Linked DNA regions of Lonchura striata. The protein of the gene in region 3 interacts with the protein of the main gene of each other region in a biochemical or structural test. Links are inferred from orthologs where the notes say so. Each region holds a gene or a part of one and is shown on either strand. Other genes may lie near its edges.

What was found.
Region 1: the proteins of TLN1 (region 3) and ITGB3 form a complex in vitro, tested with the Homo sapiens proteins (6 studies listed by BioGRID and IntAct, with this or other methods). The link is inferred for Lonchura striata from reciprocal best matches to the Homo sapiens genes TLN1 and ITGB3.
Region 2: the proteins of TLN1 (region 3) and RET interact in a surface display test, tested with the Homo sapiens proteins (2 studies listed by BioGRID and IntAct, with this or other methods). The link is inferred for Lonchura striata from reciprocal best matches to the Homo sapiens genes TLN1 and RET.

The regions. Positions count from the first base shown.
Region 1 is NC_134627.1:1,249,157-1,256,187, forward strand, and holds the start of ITGB3 (integrin beta-3), read right to left. Parts: upstream 3,054-7,031; 5' UTR 2,858-3,053; coding exon 2,752-2,857; intron 1-2,751. Other genes in the region: RPRML (reprimo-like protein), read left to right, coding at 6,970-7,031. UniProt on the Homo sapiens protein: Integrin alpha-V/beta-3 (ITGAV:ITGB3) is a receptor for cytotactin, fibronectin, laminin, matrix metalloproteinase-2, osteopontin, osteomodulin, prothrombin, thrombospondin, vitronectin and von Willebrand factor.
Region 2 is NC_134609.1:8,398,025-8,406,118, forward strand, and holds the start of RET (proto-oncogene tyrosine-protein kinase receptor Ret), read right to left. Parts: upstream 3,056-8,094; 5' UTR 2,960-3,055; coding exon 2,914-2,959; intron 1-2,913. UniProt on the Homo sapiens protein: Receptor tyrosine-protein kinase involved in numerous cellular mechanisms including cell proliferation, neuronal navigation, cell migration, and cell differentiation in response to glia cell line-derived growth family factors (GDNF, NRTN, ARTN, PSPN and GDF15).
Region 3 is NC_134642.1:39,589,099-39,596,899, forward strand, and holds the start of TLN1 (talin-1), read right to left. Parts: upstream 3,053-7,801; 5' UTR 2,974-3,052; intron 1-2,973. Other genes in the region: CREB3 (cyclic AMP-responsive element-binding protein 3), read left to right, coding at 5,110-5,247, 5,330-5,588, 5,806-5,918, 6,132-6,224, 6,732-6,838. UniProt on the Homo sapiens protein: High molecular weight cytoskeletal protein concentrated at regions of cell-matrix and cell-cell contacts. Involved in connections of major cytoskeletal structures to the plasma membrane.

The DNA.
Region 1 (7,031 bases), on a different chromosome or scaffold from region 3:
CCCTCAGCCACTTCCTGCCTCAGTTTCCCCTGTGCAGTGTTAACCCTGCTCTCAATGAGATCAGGTTCCACTAAAACTCCATGTGAAGGATTCCAGGGTCATGTCTGCTGGCAGAGCCCCAGGGTGCCTCCTCATGCTGTGAAATCTGATCTTGTGGCTAAGGAGCCCCAGAACTCTCTAAGCTCATCTGTTCCTCACCATTTGGTGCAAATTACCTCCTGCCTGTGTGCAGCCCCTGGACCCTGAAGGTTTCCTTTCCTCTCCTTCTGCTGCCACCCCAAAGCCCAGGGATCCTTTATCTGGCATCCCCTCTCTTTGTAAATCCAGTCTTCTCATGGATTTTGGAATGAAGGACATAGACCTAGGCAGAGCACTGTCATGGCTGGGGAGCTGCACCTGGGCTCAGGTGGGGCTACAGTTGGGAAGTCCCTGTGGGAGGGATTTTGCCATTCCCAAGGCTGCCCTGGGGTCTGATGTCACATCATGCCACCACGCCATTGCTGGTGGCTTTGCCTGGGGGGTCCCTGGAGGTCTGTATCTGCTCCCAGATTCACACAGCCCTGTGGTCCCTATGGTGTCCATCACTCCATAACCAAGACACTTTCCTGGGGATGGAGGACCCTTCCCTTCCTTGGAACCAATCTCCAGCACTGCACAGGGCCATTCCTGGCTGCATTTCCATGGGGCTGGATGGAGCAGGGCCTGGGCAGTTATGACCATCCAAACATGAAGTTGGTCCTGCTGTGAGCAGGCAACTGCACACCCCCAACACGGGGAAATGTTCCTTTTTTGGCATTCCCAGGACCGTTTGTATGGCTGGATGCAGGGATGCAGTGTTGGGAGAGTTTTGTGAGAGCAAGGACCTTGTAAGGATGTTGGAACAAAAGCACAGATGGGTGGAAGTGGAGGATATGGAGGAGGTGGAGGATGTGAAAGATGGGAAAGATGCTGCAGCTGGAGTCCTCTAAGGTTTTGGCCCTGTGAGTGCCTGGCAGTCCTTCCCAGACTCAGACACTACCTGGCTGTGAGCAGCTCAACACCATCCCAGTACAGCCTATACTGACAAATTCTGTATTTTTTGGTGACTTTTTTCCCCATCTTTGGAGTTTTTTTTTTTTCCTAGCCATAAAAACTAATACACCCAAGTACAAAACCTGCATTTTTAAACCATGATAGCAGCTGCTCTCACACAATGAGCTGATCCTAAAGACTCCAGTTTTTGAAAAAAAGCAATCTTAAACTAATATTAAATGAAAGAAAAACACACCACCGCATTGAACTACAAGGAAATGGGAGATAAACTGCACAGAATGATGGGAACCACCCATCTGGGGCTAGGCAGAGCTGTGGTCCTCAGAGAGGTGAAAACAGGGAATCCCAGACTGGTTTGGGTTGAAAGTGACCTTAAAGCCCATCCAGTTCCACCCCCTGCCATGGGCACAAACACCTTCCACTAGCCCAGGTTGCTTCAAGCCCCATCCAATCTGGGATTGAATTTAGGGAAATAATGCACTTGAAGCACCCCAGATATCTGTGGCTCAGCATCATCCTGTCCTGACTGGAGAAAATTACTCAGTCCCAGTGTAACCTCTGTGTGGTGCAGGAGCAGCCACACACTTTGTTTTCCCCCTCTGCCAAATTGAGCAAGAATGAGCACAGAGAAACCCTGATAAAGACATTTGAGGAAACTTGATAAATGTACAAACCACATCCTCTCCAGCCTTTCCGTTTGACTAAGTGATAAGAAGCTGGGCTTTCTTGGCAGATCCCCACCCTACCATTCTGGGGGTGTTTTTTCTCTCGAACCTTTCCCTTCCTGCCAGTGTCTTCCTGGGAATGGGATGCCCCAAACTGAGCACAGGCACCAGAGATATGTGCACAGCCCCAAACTGCAGCTCTATGAATTCAAACTCTTGCAGGGGTTATCCCATGTCCTGTTCTAATGACAGCTCCATCCGGCAGCAAATCAGAGCCTCAGGCTGTTCCTGGGAATTCACTAAAACCTGGAATTCTTTAGACAGAACAATGTTGCTCCAAATCCCAAGTCTAGCCGTGAAAACAATGTGACCAATTTATAAATCACCATTTTTAAATTTCCTTTCAGGCCTAGTCATTAGGAACACACCTGGAGAGGACATAATGCTTTTCCAGGCTTTTCTGTACCTCTGACATTTGAGAACTTTTTAAAAATACAAACTACATTTATCCTGAGATCATATGATGCCAGAAATCAGATTTCTTAAAGAAAAGCATCAAAAAAACCATGAGAAAAATAACACCGGACAGCAATGCTGGCATAATTCCCCCCGCCCCCCCACCCGCACCCTTAAAGTGTCCTGACACTGGGAGGGATTACTTGACATGATTTCTCCCAGAGAATTTCTGTTTATAAAGGATGAAGCCCAAGTCACACCCCAGTCCTTGCATTATAAACTAGTAACCAGAGCCAAACACAGAGCAGGTAGATCCAGTAAGATCTACCACATCCAGTAAGAATAACCCACTAAAGTATGTCTTGATTCTTTAACATAGAAGTTCCTGGCCCCGACCCAGATGAAGCCCAACCGGCCTGAGCAGTGCTTCCTATGTGGGAATGCGCTGCAGCTCAGGCTGCCAGCTCCCCCTCCGAGTGATTTTCCCATGAAATCACAGACCCTGGGAATGCAGAAAGTCCTGGGATTTGTAGAAGTAACAGGCAACATCTTCACTAAATGGCTATAAGCAGTGACAGAAGCGACAGAGTTAACCTACCCCAGCTGCCAGTAGCGCAGAGCAGCAGGATCCCGAGTGTCACGGAAAGTTGATCCATCTTGTCTGAACCCCGGAGTGGGGGGACGGCTTGGACCAGCCCCTCCATGAGTGATGGGCAGCGGCTCTGGAGTAGCTGGAGGCTTTTAGCGGCTGAGGGGGTGAATCACAGGGCTGGGTGAATGACACACACGGCGAGTGGGGCGGCTGGAGGAAACTGCTGCCTCGTCACTTCGGAGTCCGTAGTGTCCCCGCCCGCTATGCCGCCAGCTCTTTATGAGGTTTTCGCTCTCTCGGCTTAAACAAGGACCAAATAAACCCTGGCAGCGAGTCCTCCCTCGGCACTGGTGACCTGCAGCCCCGGAGCTCGTAACAGGCTCTTTCACATAGACTCTTCCGCCTGGCTTTAATTCCTTACAAAACCTTGCTCACTCCTTCCTTTTGTTAACTATTGAAAGGCAGCTGGTTTTAAACCCCGTCTGAACTGCTGGAGTTCAAGGATTCAAGGAGAAATAGAGGAAATGTACATTAATACGAAAGTGTGGGTTCTCAGCTCCCTCACCTGAGAGGGAATATCCCTGCTAAAGCAGAGCTGGGAGCTGAGGGAGACCCAGCCAGGAAGTGCACCTGATGGAGCCAGTAGTTTGGATATAAACCTGGACATCTCAAAGGGAGGGAAGCTCAGCTTGGGGTCACATAATTTGGACCTGATTTTCTTCTCACTTGTATTGTTTTTTTCCCCACTGTGTCCTCAGGAATTGATTCTGTGCTGAACAAATCCAGGGATTGGGATCTGCATAGGCACTGAGCCCACTGAAGCATCAGAACTGCCTGTGGGTGTCTCTTGAAGGTGTTTTACAAACCCCTTGTTCCCCTGCAATACCAAGGTCCTAGTCAAAGCTGGGGAAATTGAGGCACTTGGAATACACATTGGGAGCAAAATGGAGAGAAGGGCTGGAGTAATTTCCCTGGGATGCTCTATCCCACCAGCTGACAAGGGTTGGGGGCAATAATGACACAGTCCTGGCTCAAGACAACCCAGCACACAGAAATACCAAGCTGTGGAATACAAGTTTTTGTGGGTGCCAAGAGCTGCAGACACATCCTGGAGACAATGTGCAGAGAGCTGTACAAGAGCCACAGCCCCATGCTGGGAGATGGGGACAACAGCACTTGTCCCAGACCTGGCAGCTGTCCACAAGAGGTAACAGTTTTTGTGAAGATGAAGTAGCAATACAGACTCTTCCTCAGGACCTGGGGACTTTCCTTGGCTTTAAAAGAAGTTTTGGCCCCTCTTTGCTTCTCCACACTGCCTCACCAACCTTGAGGATGCTGCTGTCCTCTTCAGTGGGGATCACTGTCCAACTGGAATCCAATTGCTTCCCTAGGACTTGTTAATGAAGATTTGGCAAAGGGGACTAGGAGAAGCCCATCAACCCTCATGCAGTATCAAATATGGCTGTACCTTGGCTAAGACAAATCCTAAACCTGGAGCCATATCTCACGGCAGACCCCATTAGCCAGTTTTAGGGCATCTAAATTCCTTATTTTACTTCCTTGACATCCTGCTTATATGGCCTTTCCCATCATGTGGAGCTTTCTGCCCACACGGTTGCCTGTCCCCATGTGCTGTGCTGTGTCATCTTGTGACCATGTCTGAGTGTTTCATGGAAAGGAACATTAGTCTTTATTGTCTAGAGAGGACTATGGCATCCTGTTTGGCTCTGCACACCCCCAGATCCAACCTGCCATCCATCTCCCAGGCTCTCTTCACCAGGGACTCATTCTACCCAGCTCCTGGCTCCCCAAACTGGCAAGTGCTGCTGCTCCCAAACAACATATTACCCTGTGTGTCCTGGAATCCCTTACCCAGGGTGGGCTGTGATACTTTCAGCATGGTGCAAAAATGCTAAAGAAAAAGGAAAAAGTCACAAAATGAAGTGTTTGACCTGTCTTCACTTTCCTGGGCTGGTCCTGCCTGAGGACAAGGATGGAATTAACTCAGTCCAAGATGTTCGGGTGGAATTCCCCTGCAAACTGCAAGAAGGTGCTGCTTGTCCTGAAAACATTGCTGGGATGTGAAATTCCCATACCTGGTAGTGTTCAAGGACAGTTTGGACAGGTTTAGCAGATGTCCTTGCCCATGACAGAGTGTTAGAATGACTTGAGGTTCTTTCCAAACCATTCCAAGATTCCACAATGCTACCTCCAGGCACTGCATAATAGACAGTGGGATGCTCCAGATTTTGGGGTGCCTGGTGGGATGAAGGCAGAAGCCAGCAGGGGAGTGTTTGGGAGCCCTAGCTGACCCATCACCACAGGCTGTGACCCAGGAGCAATGGGTGCAGCCCAAATCCATGCTGGGGTGTGCTGGGAGAGGAGATGCTGGATCTGGAGCCACCAGAGGGAGCAGAAAGTCCTTCAGTCTGAGAGCATGCAGGAAGAGGATCCCCAGTGTCAGGCTGGGGCACTGGGTATATGCTGTGATTTCCTGTGGGATTGTCCCAGGTTAAACACAAGCAGATGCTCCTTGGATCAGGGTTTTCCCCTCCTTCATGCACAACTTCTGCTTCAACTGCCCTAGCAGAGTGGGCAGCAACCTGGAGAGAAATACCAAATCCAGAACAAGGAGGAAAATGCAACAAGTAAACCCTGAACTGAACAGGTCTGAGCCCGTAAAGTCACAGCAGCAGATCAGGGGATCCCAGCTGTCTAAAAGGAAGATCACTTGACACTGTCCCTGCCAAGTTGCCTGCCACCCTCAGCCAGCCATATGTCCCTGACTTGAGCTACAACTCATCAATCGTCATTTTTGTTTTATTAAAATCCCCTAGAAGGTTGGGCAAAGGAAACAAGCCAGTATGTACGTGGATAAACCAGGGCAAAGTCCTCACACTGTGCTTTGGGGGTGATCTGCTACTCTGGGCCGTCCAGACAGATTTCCAGGCAAATGCCAATGGGCAAAGCCAGGAAGCTTGGACATGGCAGTCCTATGGGCAGAGCCTTGGGATGAGCAGGAATAGGAGTAAGCCTGACAAGCTGGACACCCTGGCTCATGGTGTCGCTTTGGGAGCTTGTGCAGACACGGAGATGGGAGTGATGGTGAAATTTCCCCTGGGATTGCCTTGGTGGGGCTGAGGGGCTTGTGATGCTCTGGCCCTGGATGCTGCAGTGACACTGCTGTGGGACCCAAAGCTGGGGATAGAGCAGAGATCAGGGTGCAGTGCCTCCCTTTGGAGGAGCTAAAGTGAGAAGGGGAGGAGAGGGAGACCATGTGCCCTGAGGAAGAAGCCCCCAGCCAGAGGAACAGGAGGAAGAGAGGGGCTGTATCCAGCTCTTCTCTGGAGGCACAGGACAGGAATCACCAAGCAGAGCTGTGGGTGGACTGGCTGGATAGGGCCATGCTGCTCAGAGAAGGAGTGGGTGGCATGGAGCAGCAAGAGTGACAGCAGTGCTGACCTGAGGTTTACAGGAGCCTTTGGGGGAACAGGGACCTGCCAGCAGTCCGGGACAAACATTCACCATGCAAGATGCTTTTGGGAGCAGGTGGGAGGGCTGGAGGGAGGGATGAGCTAGGGACAACTCTGCAGGGCCTTAGGGCTCAGCCCCCACCTGGGGTGGCACAGGGGTGTGTGCAGGCACCTATGGCAAGGCAGAGATGGGGTATGCAGCATGGGGAAGGGGTGGGCAGCAGGGTGAATGTGGAGGGGGAGGAAGGCGGGCCTGGGAAGAGGCTGGAAGGGGGTGGAGTTGCTGTTTTTTCTTTGAGCACGGTGAAGACTTTAGCTTGTAACTTGCATTTGTGGAGCTCCCCCCTGGCAGACACCAGCTCTCCTTCCCCCGGGAGAAACCTCAGGATCCAGCAGTACTGCTTCACTGTTTTGGGAGCAGGCTGGGAGGGCAGGGGGCATGGGGTGATCCCCGTCTGCCATCCTCTCCCCCAGCTCCCTTTCTCCTTTTCTCTCTGTCTCCTTTTGCTTGTTTGGGGGCTCATGCTAATGCTCTGCTAGGAGAGATCGGGATCCAGACATCTGTCGGCTGCACGGACTGGCTTCCCACCTGCTCACAGCCTTGAGGAAGTTCCCTCTCCATCCCTGGGCACTGAGAGAGGAAAGACAGGAGGTTGCTTGGAGCTGCCAAACCCTGGCTTGTGAAGGGTGGACAGGGGGACAACAAGCTTCCCTTTTACTTTCCCTGAAGATTTGGGGTCACACACAGACCATGAATGGATCCTTTTTCAACCAGACTCTCCTGGAGCAGGCAGCTGACCCCAACAGGACTCA
Region 2 (8,094 bases), on a different chromosome or scaffold from region 3:
TATCACAGCCAATAAAATAGAAAAAAAGTTTGAATAATCTGCATTCAAGAGCACATTGCTGAAGTAGAAACCTTATTATTTCCATTAGATTTCCCTTTCAATTTTAAAAAATTTGCATAGTGTAATGCTTACAAACTGCGTTTTATTCACTGAAAAGAAATTATCTTGTCAAAAGAATCCCCTTTAATTACAAAAATTACTTTCCAGACAAGACAATCCTACCAAGTCTTTCCCACAGGCACTCTTTTCTACATTTAACTGAACAAGGTCCTACTCTGATATCACTGAGCTTTCAGAATCAAAACTCCAGCACCAAACAGCCAGGCAGCATGACAAGCAAGTTAACACCCTGAAGTCCTGCAACTGACAAGATGCAAAACTTTTTCAAAAGACAGGTGCACACTCCATAATAAAACCCTGCCTTTCTTTTAATTGGTAAAAGAGACAGAAGCCTTAATTTGAGAAGAAACATTCCTTTTATTTTTGCTGGTTTTAGGCTACTGCACGTTAAGGACAGTGCATGCAGGAGACTCACACGTTGCCTGTGGTGCAGAAGCACCAAGGCTGTGCCTTTCTGCCTCAGAACAAATGGGCCAGTGTGCTTTATGCAGCCCACCAATACAAAATAACCAAACCTAATCCCTTCAACTAACAGCACGCTCACGGATTGCCCACGCCAGCTCACTCAGTAAAATGCCTCCGGGTTTGTTGAGAGCACGCGTTCTATGAACTACGGCAGTTTTAACCTCTCCAAAACCTTTCTATAAACCAAAGATGTACCAATAGCAATTGAGTGCAAGGGTATCCCTGCAGGTTAACTTTGGGTGGCAAGCCTCTATGATGAGGTCTTGCCCAGCTGAAAGAGATTCCTTCACACCACCTGGCAAGAGCACGCCAGTTATCACTGAAGAGACCCTGGCTTTCCCCCAGGATGGAGCCCACTGAAGTTTCACAGTGTTCTCCACGATAAGAATGCATCATCACTCCTGAGACAGCTGGGTTCCTAAACTGGAACTCTGTGCATGCAGGGGCTTTGCTAGTACCTCCAAGACACAATGCTGCAAACTCAGCTCTTACTGCATAAAAGCTAATTAGTGTCACACACCTCAACAATGTGAAGCAGTGTTTCTCTATCAACAGACACCCATAGAATATTGCTATGAATAATTCCTGAAATAACTATGAATACAATGACCCTAACTATAAATATAATGACCCAAAGCATAAATGTACACAACATTCCTTCCCAACAATTTTAGCAGAAAATAAGGAGAACCAAGTATTAAGCCTCAGTAGTCAAAGCTGCGAGCATAAGCAAAACATTTTTAACTTTAAGTATAAACAAGCAGTATACAAAAAAAAAATCTACTTGGCAGCCTACTCTACTCAAATAAATTAGCTCCTATAATATTCCTCCAAATATATTTTTGGCAGATCCAAAAGTTAACAATTTATGGCTACATTTAGTAATAAAAAGTCTTTGAAACTATTTCCAACTGCTGAGGTCTGATATTTAGGAAGGTTTAGATACCTGTCTTCAGTAAAGAGAACCCCTTTCCCATCTGAGAGTTTCAGAATGAAATTCATGTAAAGTTGTACAACTAAAAGTAAAATCAAATGGTGGTCCAACTGAAAGGGAAACGCTGCAAGAGGGGAAAAAAAAAAAAAAAAAAGCCATTTGAGAATGCAGCTCCAGAGTTCCTAACACCAGCTAGTTCAGGATGTGCAATAATCTGGGGTAACTCAGCATGAATTGAAGAAAACTCATCTGTCCAGCTTAAACAGAAATCACTGAAAATCATCTTCAAGCAAATGCATGTGAATCATTTTGGCTAATGAAAAGATAACCCTCAAGCCGAGAAACTTACGTAAATTACATTTCTCCTAATTCTGCCAAAAAACATTAAAGAAAATGGATTTGCCAAAGATAAAAGCAAAGTAGGCATGATAGATCATCCATTAGCAATACAAGTATGGCTAATTCTTCCTGACAGTGAAATGTCTTGGGATGCAACCCACTTTATTTTTTTTTTTACTAGATGAGTGTGTTTAGATGCTGTATATCCTACACATTTTATACCCTTATATCATAGACTTCACTACTAGTGAGATTTTACAAAAATCAGGCCTTAACAACAACCTATTAAGAAGAGAAAACATATGGGCAACTTAAAGTATTTCAGTGTAGTAAAAAAAAATTAAAAATTAAATAGGAGCTTTATAATATCTGCAAGTATTGCAAGTAGTTTAAAATGGTACAAATTAATACAGTTAATCTGAATTAATAACAAGAAGGAAAAAGTCACATGCTTATGAGGAATCACAAGGGCAGAATTAATATTGCACTCTACTCACTGTTAGAACAACTAGTGAAGTAGTTTGGGCTTTACTTTTTTCATAAATGCATTTCTGACGTGCAAGGTTGTACTGCATTCTCTAGCATACAACTTTTATTTATTCATGTAAACGTCAGAAATCCATCAGCAAACAAAGCCATATGGAAGAAAAAGAGATATAATGGATTTTCTGTTTGCTTTAGAAACTTGACATCTGCGGATAGCATCATCCAACTTACAATGCAATCACTATTCGTATTCTGGTCATTTTCATTTACCAATCCAAAACGCATTTTATCTAATGATACAAAAAGCTCTGGGAATAGGATAGCAGAGAAGAAATAATGTTTTAGAAAGTTAAAATGGGAATATACTTTAATATTTTCCCTTTCACATCATAAATTCAGAGAAAAGCAAACTCACATCTGTTCTAACTTAGCTTTTAAAAAACGAAGAAAACGCATCAGGATTATTTATATCTTGTCTGTATTTGTGGCAAGATTTTCGGGGCCGGAGCGAGCCGCGGGTGCCACCTGAGCTCCGCCAAGTTCCCGGGGGCCGGGCTCGCGGTACTTACCCCCGCAGAGCAGGAGGAGCCCGGCTGTCCGCGCCGCCGAGCGCATCTTCCCCGCGCGGTGCGGCCCCGCCTCGGCGCTCCGGGCGGCACCGGCCGGGCTGCCGGACGGTCCGCGGGTCTCAGTCGGGCCGGCCCATGGCCCGGGCCGGCGGCAGCACGGAGCCGGGCGCGGACGGGACAGCCCGCGCCGGGATGCTTCTCCGCCGCTCCTTCTCTCGGTCCTCCTGGCTCCGGTGCCGCCCCGCCGCCACCGGCCGGGAAGAAAGCGCCTCGTTCCCTCGGCGGTGCCGGCGCCTCTCGGGCTCTGCGGGGAGAGCGAAGTCAGGAGCGAAGCCTCCGCTCCGCCGCGCCCGGCGCCGAACCCCCCGCGCTGCCCGGGCGGCGGCACCGCCCGGCTCCGGCCAGCCCCCGGCCCCTCCTCCGCGGCCGCCGGGCCGCTCTGCCCGGGCCGCCCCGCCCCGCCCCGCCCGCGGAGCCTCCGCCGAGGGGCGGCCCCGCCCCGCGCATCCCCGCGGGCAAGGTGCGGGGCCGGGCACCGGCCCGCGTCCCCCGGCCCCGCGGGCAGCAGCGGGGAGCGGGCGGCAGGAGCGGGAGGCGGCGGCCTGAGGGAGAAGACCGGCGAGCCGCGCAAACACACCAGGTGCGAGACAAAGCGGGGACAGGCGCTGCGGCACCAGGATGTGCCCGAGTGGCCGTCTTCCCCGTCAGCCGAAACACATTAAACGTGTTGAATAATTAATCCTTAGGAGAGGAGACAGTTTTTGCTTGATGGTAGGAGGATGCTGTAGAAGATGTGCGCTACCTGGCAGGCAACCAAAGTAACCCGGAACGCGCGCGTCCCGCTGAGCGGCGAAACGCCACTTTTAAACCGCAAGCGGGAGGGGGTGGGGGGCGGGAAACCTAACCGAGCCAAAGCTGAAATACGCTGTGACAGGTCGGGCTGGGCGAGAAAAGCACTCCGAAAAAGCCGCCGCTCACAAACGCCGCCCCGAGCCCCGCCGCCGGCGCTGCCTCCGCCCGGCGGCCCCGCCGCAGCGCCCGGCCCGCCCGCGCCCTGCCCCGGCTGCCGCGGCCGCGCCGGAGCCGCGGGCAGCGCGGGATGGGCGGGCACAGCCTCCCGACACCCGCGGGCGCAGCCTCCCGACACCCGCGGGCACAGCCTCCCGACACCGACCCCCGCGGGCGCAGCCTCCCGACACCCGCGGGCACAGCCTCCCGACACCCGCGGGCACAGCCTCCCGACACCGACACCCGCGGGCACAGCCTCCCGACCCCCGCGGGCACAGCCTCCCGACCCCCGCGGGCGCAGCCTCCCGACCCCCGCGGGCACAGCCTCCCGACCCCCGCGGGCACCGCGCCCGCGCAGCCTCTGGAGGGGCCACGGCGACTGCCGCCTGACACAAACCCTGCCCCGCTCCCCGCACCTCTCCTGTCACGGCATCTTCAACCTGCCGAGGAGATATTTATTTTCTGCTCCTCTCCCGAAAGACGATGCTGCTTCCACACAGCCGCGCTGCTCCAGAGATCTGGTCGTCAGGATTCAGACACAGATCAGCAGCTACAGTGTTCGGCTTCACCAGCCTTCACACTCTGAAACGCCCAAGCAAGGTCAAGTAGACACACAGAGTAGATAACCCGATGCCGTTGCACCTAGCAAGAATTGCTGTAGATTATTTAAATATAAGTCAAAAAAGAAATTCTCTCTCTAGGTTAGTAAGGACTCTGCTTACAATACCTAGCACTTTAAGAGGCGAAGTACGAGAAATAGTACTACAGGAATAGTAAAAGAACTAACCTATTTTAACTTTTCTGTTAGATCTTCAAGTTAAATTTTCTTCCATGGTCTTCATAAGGCTTGGGAAAACAATAAGCCAAGTCAAAGCAACTAGAAGGGTAATAATGAATTTGAGATGAGCAATAATAACCACCATTAATTAATTGCTTTTGAAGCTGCCTGTCACATAGTATAAATTAAACTTTTGAGTACTTACTCACGTGTCAAGTGTTTGTGGGGCTTTTGCAAGTGCCTGAAAGAGGAAACTGAGAAGGTTACTTGGGAAGTCTTTGTGAACCAAATGAAAGTCTATAGCAAAGAAAGCAACACATAAAACATTAACATTAAATCAATGCTTTGTGGAGAAATGTCTTAGGTTAAGCTAAGCTTTATCTTAAATCATATTTAAAAGCTCGTGCAGTATACAAATCAATATTGATGCCATCTAAAATACACCACTATCATCTGCACTGATAAATGCCAGTTTTCATCCAGGACAAAGTGACTTCTTGGAAGAATTTCAAGGACTTACAATCTCTTCTGGCATCTCAGCAACTGAAGCCAAAGCTGTACTCTTCTGCCAGCTTCAGGCTCTGCTCCAGCACACTAAAACTGGTTTTAGATGCCATCATGTTCGTCATGCAAGGAACAGAAGTAAGGTCACCAGAATAATTTTTTCATTTGATTTCCAGGCTTTTAAGCTAAGCAGTTTTATGTGTTTTCAGAGAATTGTAGCTTACACACAACGCACCTGGAAAAAACTATCCAACTTGGATGAAATACGTGTGTCTTCTGTGTTCCAGCTACTGTGATCACGTCTCTCATGTTAATGTAGTCACCATTCTTCCTGAAACTGCTGTCCTTTATGTCAGCACTGGTATATTGAGGAAACATAGTTCAGCCAGGAATTATAGCCTACCATACAGAAGACAAAAATAACATAAGTGCAGCATCTCTCAAATCCTGGAAAAGCCTATCAAAATTGAGGCATTTTAAATTTTCCACTTGAAATTCAAACTTCAGGAGAAAAATCTTAAACCCTTCATGCCCAGCCTGGTTTCCACATCCCTGAAGAGGCCCAAGACAGGCTGTGAACCATCTGCCCTTGAGTTTACATGAGCCATACAAGCCTATAGCAACCATCTCTTTCCAACAGCTAACTTCTGCTGCACTATGCATAAAATACACTTCCACGTCATTCACTTGGTTTCTTTGTCTGAAGGCCTTTTGAAAACTGAATGAAAATCTGTGCTTGTAAATGGGGAATAAAAAAGCGAGGTGTCCTTAATTTCCCAGAAAAACTCAAGCTTTGCAGTGGCATCTCCCATCATTCTCCTAGCAGAAATACTTTGGAAGTAAATCAACACTTTCCTGCAGGCTAGTGCAATTGCAAAACTATGGCTCATACTCCTTCTCTTCCCCCCACCCCTCTGCTTTGACTCATTTATTTGGCACAGCAGGCTGAACTATTAAATTATTGTAGGTTTTCCTTTTATAAAGGCACCATGAGATGTCTCGATACAATAATGCTTCCTGAAACTGATGCTGATTGATAACTGTTTCTTGGTTTCATCACAAGTCTTATATCATGTTCATTTAGCATCAGGGCAGGACACTTCAGGACTCTTTCACCTTTCTATGTTTTCCAAACAGTCATGCACAAACACTGAAATATTTTCGGGTAAAACCCTTCCTAGGATATTGTATTTAAAATACAATTCTCGATCAGTTCAGGGCTTGAATACTTTTTTCCCCCATGCTATGAAGTTGGTTACTGTAGAAACTCAGTCTGAGATGCTGCTGTTGATCATGTAGGACAAAACTATTTTAAACCTACAAAAATGGGTTATTAACATTCAACACTATTTTGTGATCAAACTGTCAAGTCTTTCATACAGTTACAACTACGGTGGCACTAAACAGATATTCTTCCTGAGGTAGATCTAATAGTAAAAGGACAGATTAAACTTTGATCCTGACAGTGACAAAGAATTTATCTGCATGTCATACTTAAAGTTCTTATATACATGTTTTTCCACAATCCCTGGGCTTTATTTTCCTATCCTTCTGTCAATTTCTTTATTTTCTATTTGTTAGATATTGCTAACATATAAACTGCACAGTATCCATATTATCTATTTAATTTCTATCCACTTGAGAGCATCGAAAGAGCTAAAAGCTCTTTGTTTTCCCAAAATACTCATCCAAAAGTGCTATGAATTGGTCAGAAACACTGACTACCATGAAGAAGCAGCAAACTTGTGCTAGGAGATGTCTCCATCTTGGCACCTAGAGAAGGGAACCAAGAAGCTATTTCTTTCAAGTCAGGAGGAAAGAAGTCATACTTGTGGAGAAAGTGCTACAGACTGTCCTGATAACAAGAAGTTTAAGCAAGAGCTTAGGATTGTCCAATAAATAGATAGATTTCAAGGCAAAACCCAGATTCTTGTGAAAGCAGTGACTGGCATAAGTGAAGATGCTCTTTGAGGGAAGGCAGAACATGAGCCTGGGCCAGGACCATGACCAGGAAGAATGAGTGTCCTTTGATGACCTGACAAAGCTGTCCCTCCTGGGAGCGGGCTGCACCAGGACTGCCCTCATCTGACCTCACTGCTGCTTCTTGGCAATAAAATTCTAAATTCCTTCAACAACATTAGTTTGTGTCACTGTAAATGTAATATAAAGCCTTTTTAAAAATACATTAATCCTCAAAAATTGCGTGATTTCTGGCCATCAGATTGTTTCACTGAAAGCATGAAATCATAAATCACAATGTCTGGTGCCATCAGAAGTCAGTACCAAAATAGGTCTCTAACCATTTATCTGAAATTTTCAAATGCTTGCCTTTATTGCTGCAGGTTTCCATGAAGCACAGGATGACTATGCTGGAGCATTTCCATGCAGAGAGGAAACAAATTCTCCCAATATTTGCAAACAACAGGTGCTTTTTTGTTTCAATTCTGTTCATAATCTCATGTCATATTGCATCTATCTTGTTACAAAAACCCTCTAAAACTAACAGGAAATGAAAGCTCAGGACATAAAAGTTTTCATGTCTAAGGATTGTCCTGGAGGTGCCATGGAGGCAGCTATTATGTCAGAAAAAGGCATTTGGAGCGAAGTCACTTGGATACACACTAGCACTCGACCACTGTACTTTCATTAATGTGAGTTCCAAACGCAGAGAAATCCAAAGGTATGATTTCTGTACTCTCGTGGAGCAGCAGGATTACAGGAGTGTGAGTGCATGAGGATGTGCACCTTGCTGTGATGATGAGCACTGCCTCGGGTGAGCGAGCCTGCAAGCCTGGTGTGCCTGCAGCAGAGCTGTGCCGTTGCACCGCCGCAGGAATATCCCCAGCTAGCATCAGGGACAGGGCTGATGACTCATGGTTATCTCATTTGCA
Region 3 (7,801 bases):
TGTCATTATGCAAAGTCAGATAAGGCACCGGAGCAGCCGGATTAACACACTTCTGCATTTTATAGCAAGTTGTGCGCAACCCTTTTTGAACCACAGGCACGCTTCTGAGCCAATCCCAAAATGCTGAGGGGGAGGGGTTAACCTTGGTGGGGTCCCACCACTTCCCCAGGAGCTGCTGCGGCTTCCTCCATCTCACCCCACGCAAGGTGAGCAAAACCAAGACAGCGGTGGAGGCTCCAGGCTCTGCCTCAGAGCAGGGCCAGTGCAGGCAGGGCTGTGGGCAGACAGGACATGTGTGTCCCAAAGAACCGCGTCATTGCTGGGGACCACTGACAGTGAGTTTTTGGTCACACGATGGAATTACTGTATTTCTGTTGGATGACTTCACTGCTGAAGTAACAGTTACATTTGAAGGGTTTGCGTCTTAAAAGACAAAAAAAATTAAGCAAAATTCAACTGTGGACAGCTGGAACACTTGTGATGAGTTTCCAGAACAAGCTGCAAATCTTCAGATGCAACAGTTCTGCCATTTTTATTACGTTCTCTCTTAAGGGATACTTTGAAAGAGGTTTTGGAATGGGGTTTGGTTTTTCCTTCTTTTATGGTAATACCAAATTTCACCTGGGAAAGGCCCCACTGCAGACCACCTCTGGACTAGGAGCTGGCTGCAGGAAGCTTCATCAGCTGCAAACCATCCCAGTGCTGGGGCTTTCCACAGGCACAGCCCAGCCAGTACAGCCACTGGCACAGCTAGGAAGATACCAGGCCACCAAAACGCAATGTCTGCAACAGTGGCTTGGCCAGCATGTAAACATCTGCACACCATCAACACCAAAAATTAAGCTGGTAAGAAGCCAGACTAGGCTCTAGCTGGGTTCTCCTGTGTTCTCCGGTGCAGGACCAGTATACACAGCCACAGCAGGCAGAGGTAGGCAGAGCTCAGCCCTGCACCAATGGGAAGACTGAGCCAGCAGCCCCAGCTGGTTTAGTGTCACACGCTGCTGAGACCGTTCAACCCAGTTCCTCTTTCCCAGCTGCATGTCCACGTCAGATGGGAGGACAGTTTCTTCCAGCTGAGGCTGAGCTTGCTCCTGGGGAGCATGAGTGGCTGTCAAGGCCAGACACTGCACCCCCATGACCACTCCGCTGTTAGCCATGGCTAGGACAGGCGCATCCTCTCACTCCTTCAGGGAGAGCAGCCCTGTTCTGCATGGGAAATGGGCAGGGGCCAAACAGCTGGGCTGGAGGATCGCAGCCGCAGCCTGCCTGCCTGCTCACATGCACTGAGCTGAAGCAGCTCCAGCTATTGTCTGCCAATGTTTCACACACATCTCACATCCTGTCTGCTCCTGCTGGGCATCGCTTGACCTCCAAAGGAATGGAGCACAAATCATGGCACCTCTAGACTGCCCATGATGAAGGCAGGCATGGTGGGACCCCAGCTGCAGCCTCTCCTGCATCCTTAGCAAGCTGGCCCTCTAGCACAGGACTCCAAGAGCAGGAGTTGAGTTGCAGTGGATGCTGTCATGACCTCTGGAAAGCACTAAGTGCCCTGATCCAAGCACCCATGCTTCCCACAACAAGCAACTTGCCCAGCACTGTGCTGCTGGACAGGCAGAAAGGTGAAAGAAAGAAGAGAGCATGGCTGCATTTTTGGGTCATTTGCTGGTCAGCAGCCAGCAAAGCTCAGTTCTGAAAAGAAGGGCACCCCACAGGCCTCTTTTCATTTTCCTCAGCCTTCCCACTCCCCCTTCCCTAAATCTAATAGGATATGTCACTTTGGGGAGCATCAAATTCCTGCCACTGCCATTCAGCAAGGAAACTGATGCTTGGGTGGTACTTCCCATGCACCATCACAGATTCACTCAGCACTTGGGCGGTTTCACCCTATGATCCAGGGAAAGGCAGGTGGTCTGGAGCTTTTATTAGGCAGCTCACAGGTTTTGCAAAACTAAAGATCCCAAAAATATGCGCCCTTCCCTTCTCAGCAGCAAGGCACAGAGAGAGAAGGGAGTAAACAATTATCGCTACCAAATATGGGTCTAACAGGCAGCGATGAAGACACGGCAAAAGCATGTAGACATCCTGCCGGCAGATTCAAAGGGATGGGGAGCTTGCAGGGGCTCGGGCAGGATCCGGCAGGGAACAGGCAGAAGATGGGGCAGCGTTTCTCCCTGCTTGGTTAGTTGTCTCAGCCGGGATATGGTGGGGACCCAAGCCTTCCCCGATTAGGGCCAGTCCCACCCTGCATGGGAACCACCCCAGCGCCCCATCCTGGGGCCTATAGCCAGCTGTGTGTCCTAGTGAGAACTGTTCGGGTGACGTCCCTGGCTTCGGTGTGGTCACGGGAAGCCCTGGTGTCCCCACCCAAAACCACGCAGCAGGACACGGACACCCTTGCCACGCGCTTTTCCCCACGTCCCCGGCAGGGTGGGCGGGATGCCCCGGGAAAAGCCGCGCCTGGCCTACGCGGACTGTTGGCCACGGCCAGGCTTGTCCAGCTCGGTCCCCAGAGACCCCCGAGGTGGGGATGCTGGCCCGGGCCTCGCCACGGTGGACTCCAGGCCAGAGCCTGCTGAAGCAGGGCAAGTACAAGGCCGGGATAACGTGGCCGGGGATAACGTGGCCGCGCCAGCCCATGTTACCCCGGAGCCTCCGGCGGGTGTCGGTGCTCCGGCGGCGCCGGTGCCAGGGGCGATCTGGGCATGCCCCAAAGTCTGAGCGAACCCCGGAAGCCCTCGGGTCACCGCAGCCCCACGGACAAACCCCGGTTGGAGCAGGGAAACCCCGGTAACCGGAAAGCTGCTTCCTCCCTACCTCCCCGCCACGTACCGGGGGGGTGCAGGGCAGGGTCCCCAGGACATCCGTTTCCGGCAGCCCCCCGAGACTCAGGGCCCTACCGGTCCGCAGGACCCCACTCCGCAGCCCCCAGCCCCCGGTTACCGGGACACCGAGTGTCCTCCGTCCCCGTACCTTTGCGCGGGCAGGAGCAGCGCGGCGGCCCCGCGTCGCTGAGGGGAGCTGAGCGGCCGGCACCGCCCGCTTCCCGCCCCCCCCACCCCGCCACGCGCATGCGCCAGAACGCGGCGCCGCGCTGCACGGTGCCTCGGCGCTGCGCTCCATCCGGACACCGCGCCACGGGCAATCCGCTCCCACGGACAGCGCTCTGTACCCGCACGACTCGGCCCGACGCCCCGGGGCTGGTCACGGTTCCGCGCCCGCGCAGCGTGGCCGTGCTCCACCTGCTGCTCACATCGCACTCCCGGGCGCCCGCCCGCCCCGGGACACCCCCGGGGCTCGGCATGACCCCGGACCCACCGCCCTCCCTTCAACCCGTCTCCCCCATTCCCTCCGCTCCCCTCTTTTCCCGCCCCGCCCCGCGCTCCCGCCGCCCGCGCGCGCTCCCGCCGGCCACGCGCCCCCCTCCTCCTAGCCAATAGGCGAGCGGTGCGTCAGCGCGGGAGGAGCCGGGGCGGCGCGCGCGGGGCCCGCCGGGACACTGGGTGGCGTCACCGCGGGGCGTTGGCAGCGGCGAGGCGGAGGTGAGGGGCGGCTGGGCGCGGGCTCGACCGGGGGTCGGGGCTCCGCTGCTCGGAGGTCCCGGCGGTCCGGGCAGCCGGGTCCGGCCCGCAGCCGGGGCTGAGACGGGCTGCTTGGTTCTCCTCGGGTGGATGTGCCCGCCCCTGCGCTCCGCTCGCCTTTCTGCCGCACCTGCTCCTCCTGTTCCCGTCCTGCCCGTGCTGCCTGCCCGGCGCACGCTCCCTGGGGGAAACCGTCTGTGGAAGCCATGGGCCCTGACATTGCCCGGATTTGCCCAGCTCCTCTTCCTCTTGTTGCTGAACTTTCTGCTGACAGCTCTCCCCTTAGTCAGCTGGCTCAGCAGTCCTGGCTGGGGACTGCGCTGGCCCTCTGGTTTTGGGAGGGGTTTCAGGTGGTTTTGGTGGTATTCTATTTTTTCTGGGTTTTTTTTTTTTTTTCAGACCGTGACACTTGACAGCTAGATGTGAAAGCTTAGCAGTGCTGATGGAGAGGTGCCATGGATGCCTGTGCTCTGACAGCCTGAGTGGTGCCTTGGCTCAGGCATCGCCCACAAGCCGGCCGGGCTGATCCCGCCGAGAGCCATGCGAGGCCGCATCTCCTCAGGGACCGAGGCTCCTGGGCCATGCCTTGTCAGGACATAACAGCAGCAGCCCGAGCTGGGACCAGGCCAAGCTAAAGCTGCCACAGCCACGCAGGTGCACAAGCCCCAGGGCAGTGTTTGGCTGCAGGTCCCTCACTGCCCTCCCCGTACCTGTGGCCGCCTCCAGCCGCTGAGCTCTGCTGCTCTCACGCCGCTGGGCCCTGACGTCCCTGGCAGCAGGGACAGCTCTCCAGGTCACTCCTCAGGGCAGAGAGATTCTTTACCAGTGTCTGATCTCTACAGTAAGGTAAGGAGCATTTTACTTTCAGCCTAAAGGTATACTGTGTGCTAGTGACCTTTATATATATCCATCTATTTATTTGTTTCATCCCCTTACTTATTACGAGTGTGTTAAACAGTACTGTGTTTGACAGCTGTCTGAATTGCTAAGTCATCATATAGGTCTGTCAAATCACTTATTAATTACCTTTCAATGATCACTTAATCACCATTTGATTGCCATTTAATTTTTGCTCAGTCATCGATTACTTAGAATTTGATCATGATTTAATCATTAACAGAATCCCTTTGGTTAAAACCTCAGCAAAGACTGTTCTTAATTTTCCTGGCACAGGAAGCTCTCGCTGCATACCAAGGGGTATGGCACCTTCAGGTTTCTGTGGAACAGCAGAATCTTGCCTGCTCTCCACACCATTAAGTCTGGGATTGTTTCATTTTTCCTGTCCTTTCTGCAGCTTTTATGCTCTGGGTGGAGCATGGCTCCTGTGGCTGGGTCCAAATAACCTTGTATTGTCACCATTGGTGCTATAATGGCAGAAGGAGATGTTACCTGGCTGGAGAAGTACTTGTGAACTGGCCATTCCTGCTGTTGACATTGCATGGGGATACTTCATAGGGTCTGAGGGACACCTTAAAGCAAGGCTGGTGTCTCCTGTTGTGTCTGTGCTCACTTTGGGTGTCCTGCTCAGATGTCATGCCCAGAGGAACTGGATGCCCTGGCAGATGTGGATCTGCTTGACTTTCTTCTGAAGGAGGATGCTCCCTGCCCTGAAATCCCAGGGGAGCAGAATGGTCTGCTGGAAGACTGGGGCCTGCCAATGCCTGAGGTGAGTTCTTTGTAAGGAATTGCTGCTGAGCTGAGGTTTAGGAGGTTTGTCTCCCTGCTGAGTAAAAGCTATTCCTCTGCAGCTCCTGGACAAGGAGATGGATGACTTCATCAGCTCACTGCTGAGCCCTTTAGAAGATGAACCAGACAGGCTCAGTTACTTGCCTGCCAACAATGACAGCAGCATTTCTGAGGATCAGCTTCTGTCCCATTGCCTCAATAGCAATTTTGCGAGCCGAGACATTGTGCACGTTGATCATAACTACTCCCTTCATCAAGAGTGGCCTACACTGGAAAGTGTGAGGTCTGACATGGCAGAAGGAGATGTTACCATTGAGCTAGGTGAGTGATGTTACGGACTCTTTGTGCCCTGGCTGCAGGCAGAAAAGAGAAAAGTAGTCCCATACTGGTTTGTTTTGGGGGTGTCAGGCAAAGATGGAGAGAGCCAAGATTAAAGGCTTTCTGCTGTTATAAAATTGCTATTTCATGCCACTCAAAGCTGGCTGGTCAGGTGCTGCCTCAGTGAGGCCCAGCATTTGACTCATCTTTCCTTCCCCAGGGGCATGGGTAGGTTTGGAAAGTACAAGTGAGGCACTGGAACAGAGCACCAGTTCCCCCGTTGCTGTTGCTGTGGAAGATGAACCCCAGCTTGTGCCTGGAGCCATTGTACAGGTACTGACTCCCATGCCTGTGGACCCCAGCCTTTGCTTCTCACATTTCTCCTTCTCTTCTGACTTGGCTCCTGTGAGGGGTATCTCTGAGGGAAAGCATGACATTACTTTGGAAGAGCTGATTCCAGTTCTGTGTGTTTGCTATGTGCCCTTGCTGGCGGATGGACTCCCTGTAGTATGCATTCTCAGTAGGCTTATTTTTGCTGTTTTCTAGTCTGACTTCCCAGAGCTGGTCCTGACAGAGGAGGAGAAGCAGCTCCTGGAGAAAGAAGGTGTTACATTACCAACCTGTCTGCCACTGACCAAAGTGAGTCCTCACTAGAACCATGCAGACCACTCTTAATGTATCAGGTATCGTAGGGGTTTGAAACTGCAGGACAGTGCCTTGATGAGAATATGTTGTCCAGATGCTGCATTCCAGGCAGTGTTCATCTGGGCTCAGTGTCCTTTTCCTTCTTTCGAGTCCAGGGCATTGTCCATGTGCACAGCAGCTTCTGGCTGCTGTCAGTCTCCAGACTTGTGGCTGTTTGCAGGAGGCAATTACACCACGAGTGCCTGCAGCTATTTTTTCCTGCTTGCCTAGTGGCTTGTGGTCTGTGTGCTTTTCATTTTCCTTAGGTACGCCTTACTTTTGCTGAGTCACGGAAGCTGCTGGCTGCACCAGCAAGGCCAGGGTTTGCCTTGCAGTTTATTCACTGGTGTACGAAGGACAGAGGACACAAGCACTAGGGCTGAGGATTGATATGTGAGCGCAGTCTGAGAGGGTGGGATTGCCAACACCCTGGGATTGCTGTTAATGAGGTGAACCTTGCAGGCTGAGGAGCGAGTTCTGAGGAAAGTGCGTCGTAAGATTCGGAACAAGCAGGCAGCTCAGGATAGTCGTCGCCGGAGGAAGATCTATGTGGATGGCCTAGAAAACAGGTATGGTCACACAGGAGTGTCACCAATACTGAGGGGACCCGTATGTTCTTTTAAGGGATCCTTGGCAGAATGATGATGGCCCTTAATTGTCATTTCAATCAGAACTTCATTTTCCTATCATGTTATGATTAATATAGCAGAGGATTTGTGATTACAGTGGCACAGTTTTTCTACAAGCAGAATCAATGTAGTACACTCTATAAGCAGTGTAATACAGGATCTATCGTGCAACTTAACAATTTCTAATCACCTGCATTCTAATACATCTTAAGTTACAATTTCTAGTCACCTGAGCCCTCTGCAGATTGGATCAGATCTTAATAGATGGTTCTGTGTATTAATATAATGCTCATAACATAGATTCAAAAATGATACAAATAATTCAAGTCTCTCCCTCAGTCATGGGAGGAAGCAGGCAATGGTAGATGTGTCCCTGAGCAGAGGGATCCTGAGCTGTCCAGCAGAAATTTTACTCCCAAGGTGCCCTTAGGACTTTCTAATTGATTCTGTAGACAGTGTGCTCTGTGTTGTACTTCCCTGCTCTGTGATATAGCTGTCAGCAACACAGAGCTGGCTCTGTGCCAGCGACCTTCAAGACTGGTAAGAGGAAGGACTGGTGCCCAGGAGCTTTCAGGCTGGCAGAGAGAGGAAGAAGAAATCTGTTTGTTTTGGTACTTGGTGTACAGGACCTTCAGTGGCAGATTACAAGGGGAAGGGAATGAATACATGACTTGGTGGGTCACAGAATTGCTGCTCCTCTCATGCATGGCCTTAGTTGTACTGACCACAGTGCCAGGTCCAGGATCAGGGGGTGCCTGTCACAAGCTGCTGTGCTGTTCAGTTGCTGGGCTTCTGTCACCCTGAGCAAAAAGTGAGGCTGGCCCTGTGGGGCAAGAGCTCCCTGCAGAGGGTTCAGAACACCAGGGTGAAGCCTGTCTGGTGCTCTTGTGCTTGGAGATGGTC